Cricetulus griseus: one gene and its partner. The protein of the gene in region 2 interacts with the protein of the main gene of each other region in a biochemical or structural test. Links are inferred from orthologs where the notes say so. Each region holds a gene or a part of one and is shown on either strand. Other genes may lie near its edges.

The links.
Region 1: the proteins of Sh3gl2 (region 2) and Synj1 form a complex in vitro, tested with the Homo sapiens proteins (2 studies listed by BioGRID and IntAct, with this or other methods). The link is inferred for Cricetulus griseus from reciprocal best matches to the Homo sapiens genes SH3GL2 and SYNJ1.

Annotation. Positions count from the first base shown.
Region 1 is NC_048597.1:6,747,926-6,752,524, reverse strand, and holds the start of Synj1 (synaptojanin-1), read right to left. Parts: upstream 2,854-4,599; 5' UTR 2,681-2,853; intron 2,530-2,680; 5' UTR 2,508-2,529; coding exon 2,384-2,507; intron 1-2,383. UniProt on the Homo sapiens protein: Phosphatase that acts on various phosphoinositides, including phosphatidylinositol 4-phosphate, phosphatidylinositol (4,5)-bisphosphate and phosphatidylinositol (3,4,5)-trisphosphate. Has a role in clathrin-mediated endocytosis.
Region 2 is NC_048595.1:62,445,591-62,449,233, forward strand, and holds the end of Sh3gl2 (endophilin-A1), read right to left. Parts: intron 2,256-3,643; coding exon 2,056-2,255; 3' UTR 572-2,055; downstream 1-571. UniProt on the Homo sapiens protein: Implicated in synaptic vesicle endocytosis. May recruit other proteins to membranes with high curvature. Required for BDNF-dependent dendrite outgrowth.

The DNA of each region.
Region 1 (4,599 bases), on a different chromosome or scaffold from region 2:
GACTAACCAAAGCCCTTCATTCTCATCTTTTTATTTCAGCTTTCATTAGTGTAAGTACATCTATAGTATGAAAATGTATTCTGTGTGGATTAACACTGGAGCATGATGCTGGAGCATGGCATTTTCATTTTATTAAATCATAAAAACCACCAGGTAGTAGTGGCACATGCCTTTAATCCCAGCACTTGGGAGGCTGAGGCAGGCGGATCTTTGTGAGTTCAATGCCAGCCTGGTCTACAGAACTAGTTCCAGGACAGCTAGGGCTATTACACAAACAAACCATAAGGAACAATTTTGAGCAGTGACGTTCATATTGAATATTACTTAACCTTTTTCTCGGGATGTATCTCACTCCTTGCTTCTCCCTTCAAACCATGGTACTGTATGCAACAGAAATACGTGTGCGCGCGCGCGCGCGCGCGCGCGTGTGTGTGTGTGTGTGTGTGTGTGTGTGTGTGTGTGTGTGTGCGCGCGCGGCGTGCTCGTGTGTTATACTGACCTTTGCTTAGGAGTTGTTCATTATGTCACTATTATTTTTCCTACCAGGATAAAATTTTACTATTTTAGTCAGGTTACACCTGAGCCAATATGAAAATCTTTTATACATAGGGTAGGACATTATGCTCTTTACCTACTGAGTCTAAAGAAAGAGTAATAATTAAAATATTTATGGCTTATATTGTTTTTCAAACATTATTGTGTGTATACATGTGCGTTTATATATATACACAGTAATATATAATATACATTATATAATGCACACACACGCATATATATATATGTGTGTGAGTATGCATGTAGGCCAGAGGTTGACATCAGGTGTCTTCCTTTATTATATATTATATATTTATTAAATATTCACACACAGCGTATGCATGTAGGCCAGAGGTTGACATCCAGTTCTAGCAATGTTCACGTTCCAGCTCATGCAGAGCATGCCAGGCTGTCTTCCGTGAGGGTTCTGGGGATCCCCAGCTTACATGGCAGGCATTTGTCAACTGAGCATCTCCAGCCTAAACAACAGTTTTAACTTATAAAAGTATGATCAATACACAATCTGAGAAAATGGAGCCAAGAAGGCTAGGGATGCAGCTCCGTTAGCAGAGTGCTTGCCTAAGATGCATGAAGCCCTGCGTTCCAACCCTGCACCGAATGAACCTAGCACGGGAGCATGCCTGTACTGCCCGCACTCTGAATATGAAGGTAGGGGGATTTGGAATTCAATGGCTTTGGCTGTATCATAGGGGGGAGGGGGGCAGGTCAGGTTATAACACTGCTTTAAAAAACTCAAGAACAAATAGTTCTCATTAGAAAATCTGTTTTAAAAACACCATACCTGGGACAACCCCAAACTGGGGTTATCTGCCCCACTGAATGACTGAAGCATGGGGTACACTGAGATGTCTCTGCAGGTAAAAAGCATTTACCACCAAGCCTAAAGACCTGAGTTCTGTCCCTGGAACATATATAGAAGGAGGAGAGAACCTACTCCCACAAGCTACCTCTGACTTCCACACGTACCCCACTCACACACAAATAAATAAATGTAAAAAATTATAGCATAAAAGCATGTTAATTAGTAGTTTTCATTTTCATCCATCTGCCACAAATTAACCCAAACATTTTTTGCCTTTGCTCGTGCGTGCGTGCGTGCGTGCGTGCGTGCGTGTGTGTGTGTGTGTGTGTGTGTGTGTGTGTATGTGTGTGTACAATAAGAGGTACAGTAAATAGAACTTTTCTTTAAAAATCAGTCATTTTTAAACAAAATGAAACCAATCACTCATCTCATATGCAATTTTTACAAACTGCAATTTTTACTGAAAAATATAAACTCGTAGGCTGTAGAAGTGATCAGTAGTAGAGCACCAACATCACTCATGCACACGCAAGTCCTTCAGTAGCAGCCTGGGCCTGATCTGAATCTCACACATGCTCACGAGGCACACCAATATACATACATACATACATACATACATACATACAAAAATAAGTAAGGGTTTGACATAAGATACACAAAAATCTGTAACATAATATCATTACTACTAAAACTGACCTGCAAAATTCTATGCATTACAGCTATCAAGCAAGCTGTCCTATTGGGTTAATGCGGTAAGACGTAACTGCAACAATATTCTACAAAAAGATACAATTCTAGAAGCAGAACACAGAGAAAGCAAAATCCTATCCGCAAAATCTGCACCTCCCCAAACAAAAACCTAAGTCTGAGTTTACAGGAAATAAGGGTTCTTTCCAATTAAAGCAAAGAATAAATCCATCAGATAAAATTCGGTCTGAAGGCTTCCAAGGATTTTCTTTCTTTTTTATAAACTGTTACGAACCAAAACAGAGATCATAATCGGTGAGGTTAAAACACGTGACTTACAGAGCACGGCCACAGCCCCAGACTCGAACATGAGACATTCTTCCTTATGCCGCGTTTCCACTATGAGGCTGAAGGGTGGGGGGTCCAGCTTGTGGTAGACTCGGAAGCCTTTGCTGAACGCCATCCTCCTTTCCTCAGAGGCAGCCCTGTGAAAGCCAAGCCAAGTCAAGCCAATGGTCGGCTGGGCACCCAGGGGTCCCTCCCTGCCAAGTGTGAGGGGGGTAGGGGTGCAGGAAGAGAGGAGAAATCAGGGGTGAGCCATTTATTCCAAAAGATAAGGCGTCACCAAATTTTTACCAAAAGGCAAAGGGAAACCGGCTTCCAGTTGTCAAGATGCGGCCAGGGGAGGCAGGGTCTGTGTTTACCCACAGGAAAACCGTGCGTGCGTTTTCGGCGGGGGTTGTTCACGGGCCTGCCTCGCGGGCCGCCTCTCCTGAGGGGACCTGACGGCAACTTGAGGCTCGTGCGTCTACCTCAGCGGGAGGGTAGGGCTCGTCAGCGCGCGGGCTCCGCAGGGCGGCGGCGAAGGGCAGGGACGCCGCCACACAGGTGACCGCCGCCGCCTCCGCCCGCCCGCTCGCCCGCCCACCCGCTCGCCCGGCGCGCAGGTCACGGTGACGACAGGCTCGCCCCGCGCGCGGCGCGGGGGTTCCGGGGTAGCCGGGGAAACCGAGGCAGCGGGCAGCCCGGAGCCTCCATTGTGCGCCTCGGGAGATGCCCGGGAGCCTGAGCGGAGCGGAAGCCTTCCGGCCCGCGGGGTGACAGCCGCCGTCACCGCAGCCGCCCGCCGCCGCCCCGCCGCCGCCCGCGCTCTCCTCACGCCGCCCGCCCGGCCGCCCGCAGCCGCCGCTCACCGCTCGCGTCCCGGCTGCCACCGCCGCCACCGCGCCGCCGCGCCCGTCACGGAGCGTCCCCGTCCCCCGTTCCCCCGTCCCCCCGACCGCCCGCCCGGCCGCCCACCTATTCCTCCGGCTCCTCCTCCTCCTCCCGCAGCCGCCGCCGCCGCCGCTACAGCCGCCCGAGGCGTCACTTCCGCCTCAGCAGGCCCAGCTCTTCCGCATTGCGCCGCTGCCGGGGGGGGGGGGGGGGAAGGCCCGCCCCTTGGGTGGAGGGGCGGAGCTACTGCCGCCCACGCGGGGCCGTTGGGCTCGGCCGGGCGCCCGTGAGCCACCCGGGTCCTGCGTCCCTCCCGCCGTCGTCAGCGCGGGAGCGGGGGGCCACCCGCGCGGCCGGGGAAGCCGGCACGGGAGGGGCGGGACGGGCGGTGTCCTCGCGTGGAGGCCCCTGAGCCCCGGCCCGGCCGCGGCCGCCAGGGGGACTGCGGTTAGAGCTGCGGGCCGGGCCGGGGGAGCCCGAGGTGAGCCGAGCCGAGCCCCCCGGGACCACCCCCTGCCGCCTCCGCGGCCCCGGCGGGCGGGCGGCGGGCGGTGCCGGAGAGCTGTCCATGGTGTCTGGCGTCGGGAGGCGTCCTTGGCGCTCCAGGGCTCCGCTGAAGGCCTCTGAGAGAGGGAAGGAGGGAGGGAGGGAGGGAGGGAGCGATCCGCAGCCCGGGCGCCAGCCACATCAACAAAACACGGCAGTCACTCTCTCGGTGACGTGCCGATTTGCCGGCCGTGGGCTCTTATAAATAGGGCATCACACTGTTTGATACCGTTTTTCCCCTCAACGCAACACGCCTCTGATTTGTGTCCGGCAGAATTACTCTGCATCTATTCAAGAAACCAAAATGGTAGAATGATGTAGTTAATAGGGCTTTTCAAAGGAACTGAAAACCCGAGGAACCCACAAGTCATATTTCCACTTGCTTTTTCTCCCTAGCCTCTTCCCCTTTTTGCATCCCCCACCCGAAAGCACATTTACGATGCGTTGCACAAAATCGTTTCCTCTAACAGGCTCTATCATGTGACTCAACATTTCTCCATTTTATCCAAGACAGATCCACCCTGGTTTCAGACTACTAATAAGCAAACCAAACACAAGCCACCTCTAGTACAGGAGACACACTTGGATTTAGTTCTGAGAATCTTTCACTTAGTAGTCTCCTTAGAAAAACTTTCGCTTTTTGCTGTGGTTACAGTAACCAGAAGCTTACACTGATAATTAAAATGCTTAGGTCATTTTCCTTCCAAGAAGAGTCCATTTCAGTTGGGGGACAATCCTTGAAGGAAAACACAATGTGATGCCTGTAAACATGCTCCAACAAAAAGGGGCTCAGG
Region 2 (3,643 bases):
GATATTGCTGGGAAAGGAAGAATCCTCCTTTTTTGAAGTTTTGGCCACTGGTAGGTTTTCCATGCTTCATGCATAGCCCCATACTTACACACATGATCAACACTAACTGGATTTAAAGACTCCAAGTTGGTTGAAAGGTGTATTGGGGGACACTTGAGAAGTTGAAGGAGGAAATAAGAGGGAGAAATGATATTTTTTCTACATACATATATGAAATTAAAATAAAGGAGTATTCAAAACAAAGCCAAAAGTCTGGCCAAGATACTTTATTTTCCTCTTTTTAACACTGTGTTCTCCTGCTGACATCACTGTTTGTTAAATCACATAACTTTCTTCTCTTACTTACCCTCTCCGCCAAGTTTTTCTCCTTCCTGGCATTACTGCTGCCAGTGCCTACTCTAGCTCACCTTTTGTTTCTTGAACCTCTCTCTCCTGTATGCAACAAGCTGGAGATGAGGTTGGGACCAGGTCTGGATTGGCTGCATTCAATGGCAATGGAGATCAAAGGAGTCTTAGTCCACCCACTGTCAGACCAAGGAACTGATAAATAAGGAAGAGGCAGAACCCTCTGTTTCATCTTCAGCAATATTTATTGGAAACAGCAACGCTTCCCATGGTGAGTTTATACATTAAGCAGGAAGATTTACCTTTCACTCCACATGAACCACTACTGCAAGTGGCATATCGGAAGCAGCACATTAAACCTCTGAAATAGCCTGTACAGCTAGATAAATAGAACTCTGGGTGCCTAACAGGACTTCCATGACTGAAGGGGAAAAGAACCAGAGAAAACACAAAATAAAAACAACACTGATCAGCTTGCACAGCACTGTACACACAAAATGAAGATGCGATAGAAGGGTTAAAGTAATGACTAAAGTGTGAAAGGGTTTTATATGCAGCCACATACTTAAACTGCTAAGCACAAAAATCATCTTTATTTGGTCCTCATTGAGGGCAGAATATACACAAATGATGTTCAAGGAACACAAACAAGATAAAAGTGGGAAGGAGCAACGGTCACTATGTCTTGTTCTATGAAGATGTGGGAAATGCTTACTAGTGTTTCTCTCCTATGTTTTTGTGGCAGAGGGACTCAGGAAATGGACTGATTCCTGGGTAAATAAACAGAGAAGGGAAGACAGCTGTTCCCCCTTCCTGTATCCTTCAGAAATGGGCTACGTATATATACAGCTTCTATACAGCAAGGAATCTGAGCTTGGAGATCAGATTCTTCCCAATTCATCCTGGAGAATTTTCTCTTTTCAGACAATATACACAATGCTCACCAACTCACTCAGAAATAAGTGGGAACGCCACCTCTCTAGTGCTTTAACAGAAGGGAGGGAAGAAAACTGGTATGTCTCAGAAGTAGGAGATAGATGATAGATAGATAGATAGATAGATAGATAGATAGATAGATGATAGAAGATGGATGGATAGATAGCTAGATGGATAGATAGATAGATAGATAGATAGATAGATAGATAGATAGATAGAAAGATAGATGGATGAGAACAAAAGTGCTTTGGACAATTAATACTTCTGCTGATGGCATCAAAAGTCCAAGTTGTTTAGGCCAGCAGACAATTTGCTGGTGGGGGATGCTTCACCAACAATTCTGTGACTCACACATTTAGGAAGGGAAAGTGCAACAGAAAGGACTTTCTCCTCTGTACATGGGGAACTCCAGACCTTGAAATGGCCCCTGGGTGAGAGACAATATCTTCAGTGAGGAGAGTTTTTCTGTGAGGTGGCTCACAGATTTATTATCAAAAACCGCACCCTCCTGAGAACTGTGTGAAGAGCAGTTCTGTAACCACTGGCTAGTCTCAGATGGAGTTTTAAAGCATGTGCCAGACCCACTGGCCTTGGAAGATACCGTCTATCACCAGGTCAACTGTAGGAGCACACAGGTCAACCCAGGACATGTGTGGGCTTGATGACTCATCCACTGCGGCCTGCATTCATGATGTGTTGGAAGCAGCATTACCAAAGCAGTGGTTAAACTTAACTATCTGGGTCAGAAGGAGGTGAGCCAGCCAGCATAAGATCCTAATGGGGCAGAGCAACCAGAATTTCTACATAGTTGATGGGGAAAAAGCCAGACTGGCCATGAAGCATCCCCTCATACCAGTTCTCATCAATTTGATTAGTGAGTGTGATGATATCACCCTCTTTAAAACCCAGTTCCCCTTCATTTTCAGGTTCAAAGTCATACAGGGCACGGCAGCAGGGCTGGTCCATTTGGGCACCTGAGAATCAGAGGCAGAGAGAACACAAAAAAATCACAGGGTATTTAACCAGCAGCACTTACTGCCTGCCCCACCCACCAGCTTGGTTCCCCATTCCCAGTCACTCAACTCCCTTCTGATCTTCATCTTCCTCCAGCACCCACTACAAAGCATCTTTGTCTCTACCAGCTTCCCTATGTTCCATTAGAGCTTTAAGTGTTGGTGAACATTCTCGGTTGACATGTCCAGAATGAAAAATGGTTACTTGTTTTTTTGTGTGTGGTAAGTATAACAGAGTTCATTAGGTTTATCTTCCTGACAATGCTGAGAGGTGGGAAAGCAATGGCTTTGGAGTTAATAATTAAATTAAGGTTAATTACAGGCATGGCCAAATCCATGCATCTTAATACTTTTAAAATAGTCTAATTAGTTACACAGACAACATTCTAAAACCTCAAAATCATAGGTCAGTTCTCACTCTTTAACAACTGCAGAGCCTTGAGAACTGCTGTAGCCACATAAAGCACTAGGCCCAGGGTTTTTCTCCATGTGACCTGGCTCAAACATTCTGTTTGCTTCTTCATCCAAAATTAAAGTTAACAGAATTTGCTTTAAATTATTGTGTCATCAAATGACAAACATTTTAAAATTCACAGTCTCTATTCAGTAAACTGGTATGTAACATACACATGTGAGTACTGGGTAAAAAAACACAGCCTACAATAATAATGTAGTGCATATTGCATAAATTAATAAAAATGGACTGTATCATAAAAGGGATCTCTTTTAAATGAGTAAACATATTAATACAGCATATGCATAAATACAAATACAAAAGTGATTATGGGCCCCACACTAGCTAGATGTCCTAATAAGGAAACAATATATTTTTTTACTTAGAGAAAATTAAATGTATGTCTTTTTCTGGGCAAGGAGAAGTGCAGTCATAGATAATTAACTCGATGAACTTTAGGGTCACTGCTGTCTGGGCCCCACACTGAGTAACACTGGGCAGTCTGAGCTGTGGACAGAGCTTCACCCTCTTCTTCATACCATGACAGCATGGTATAAAAGTTCTCCAATGCAGTAAATCAGGAGAATGGGAGAAAGCTGTGTATCTTTAACATCTGCATCCAGTGTCACGTGGATTCCCCCTTCTTTAACCTAGACAGTTTCACAGTTGGCAATGCCTGAAGAGAAAAACCTGGTCTGATTTGTATGTGGGCAGTTGAGAATGATCATGGCAATGGAGAGACTGAATTAGTGAGTACAATCATTATTCCTGAAGGAAAAAATGTAGCTGTCATCATGCTGACCACAGTTCACGAAATGATGAACTGGTCTACAGTACAGAGTAAAGAGAAAACTAGCATGTGTTGAGGCTTTGTAATCTATCCATCTACAGATAT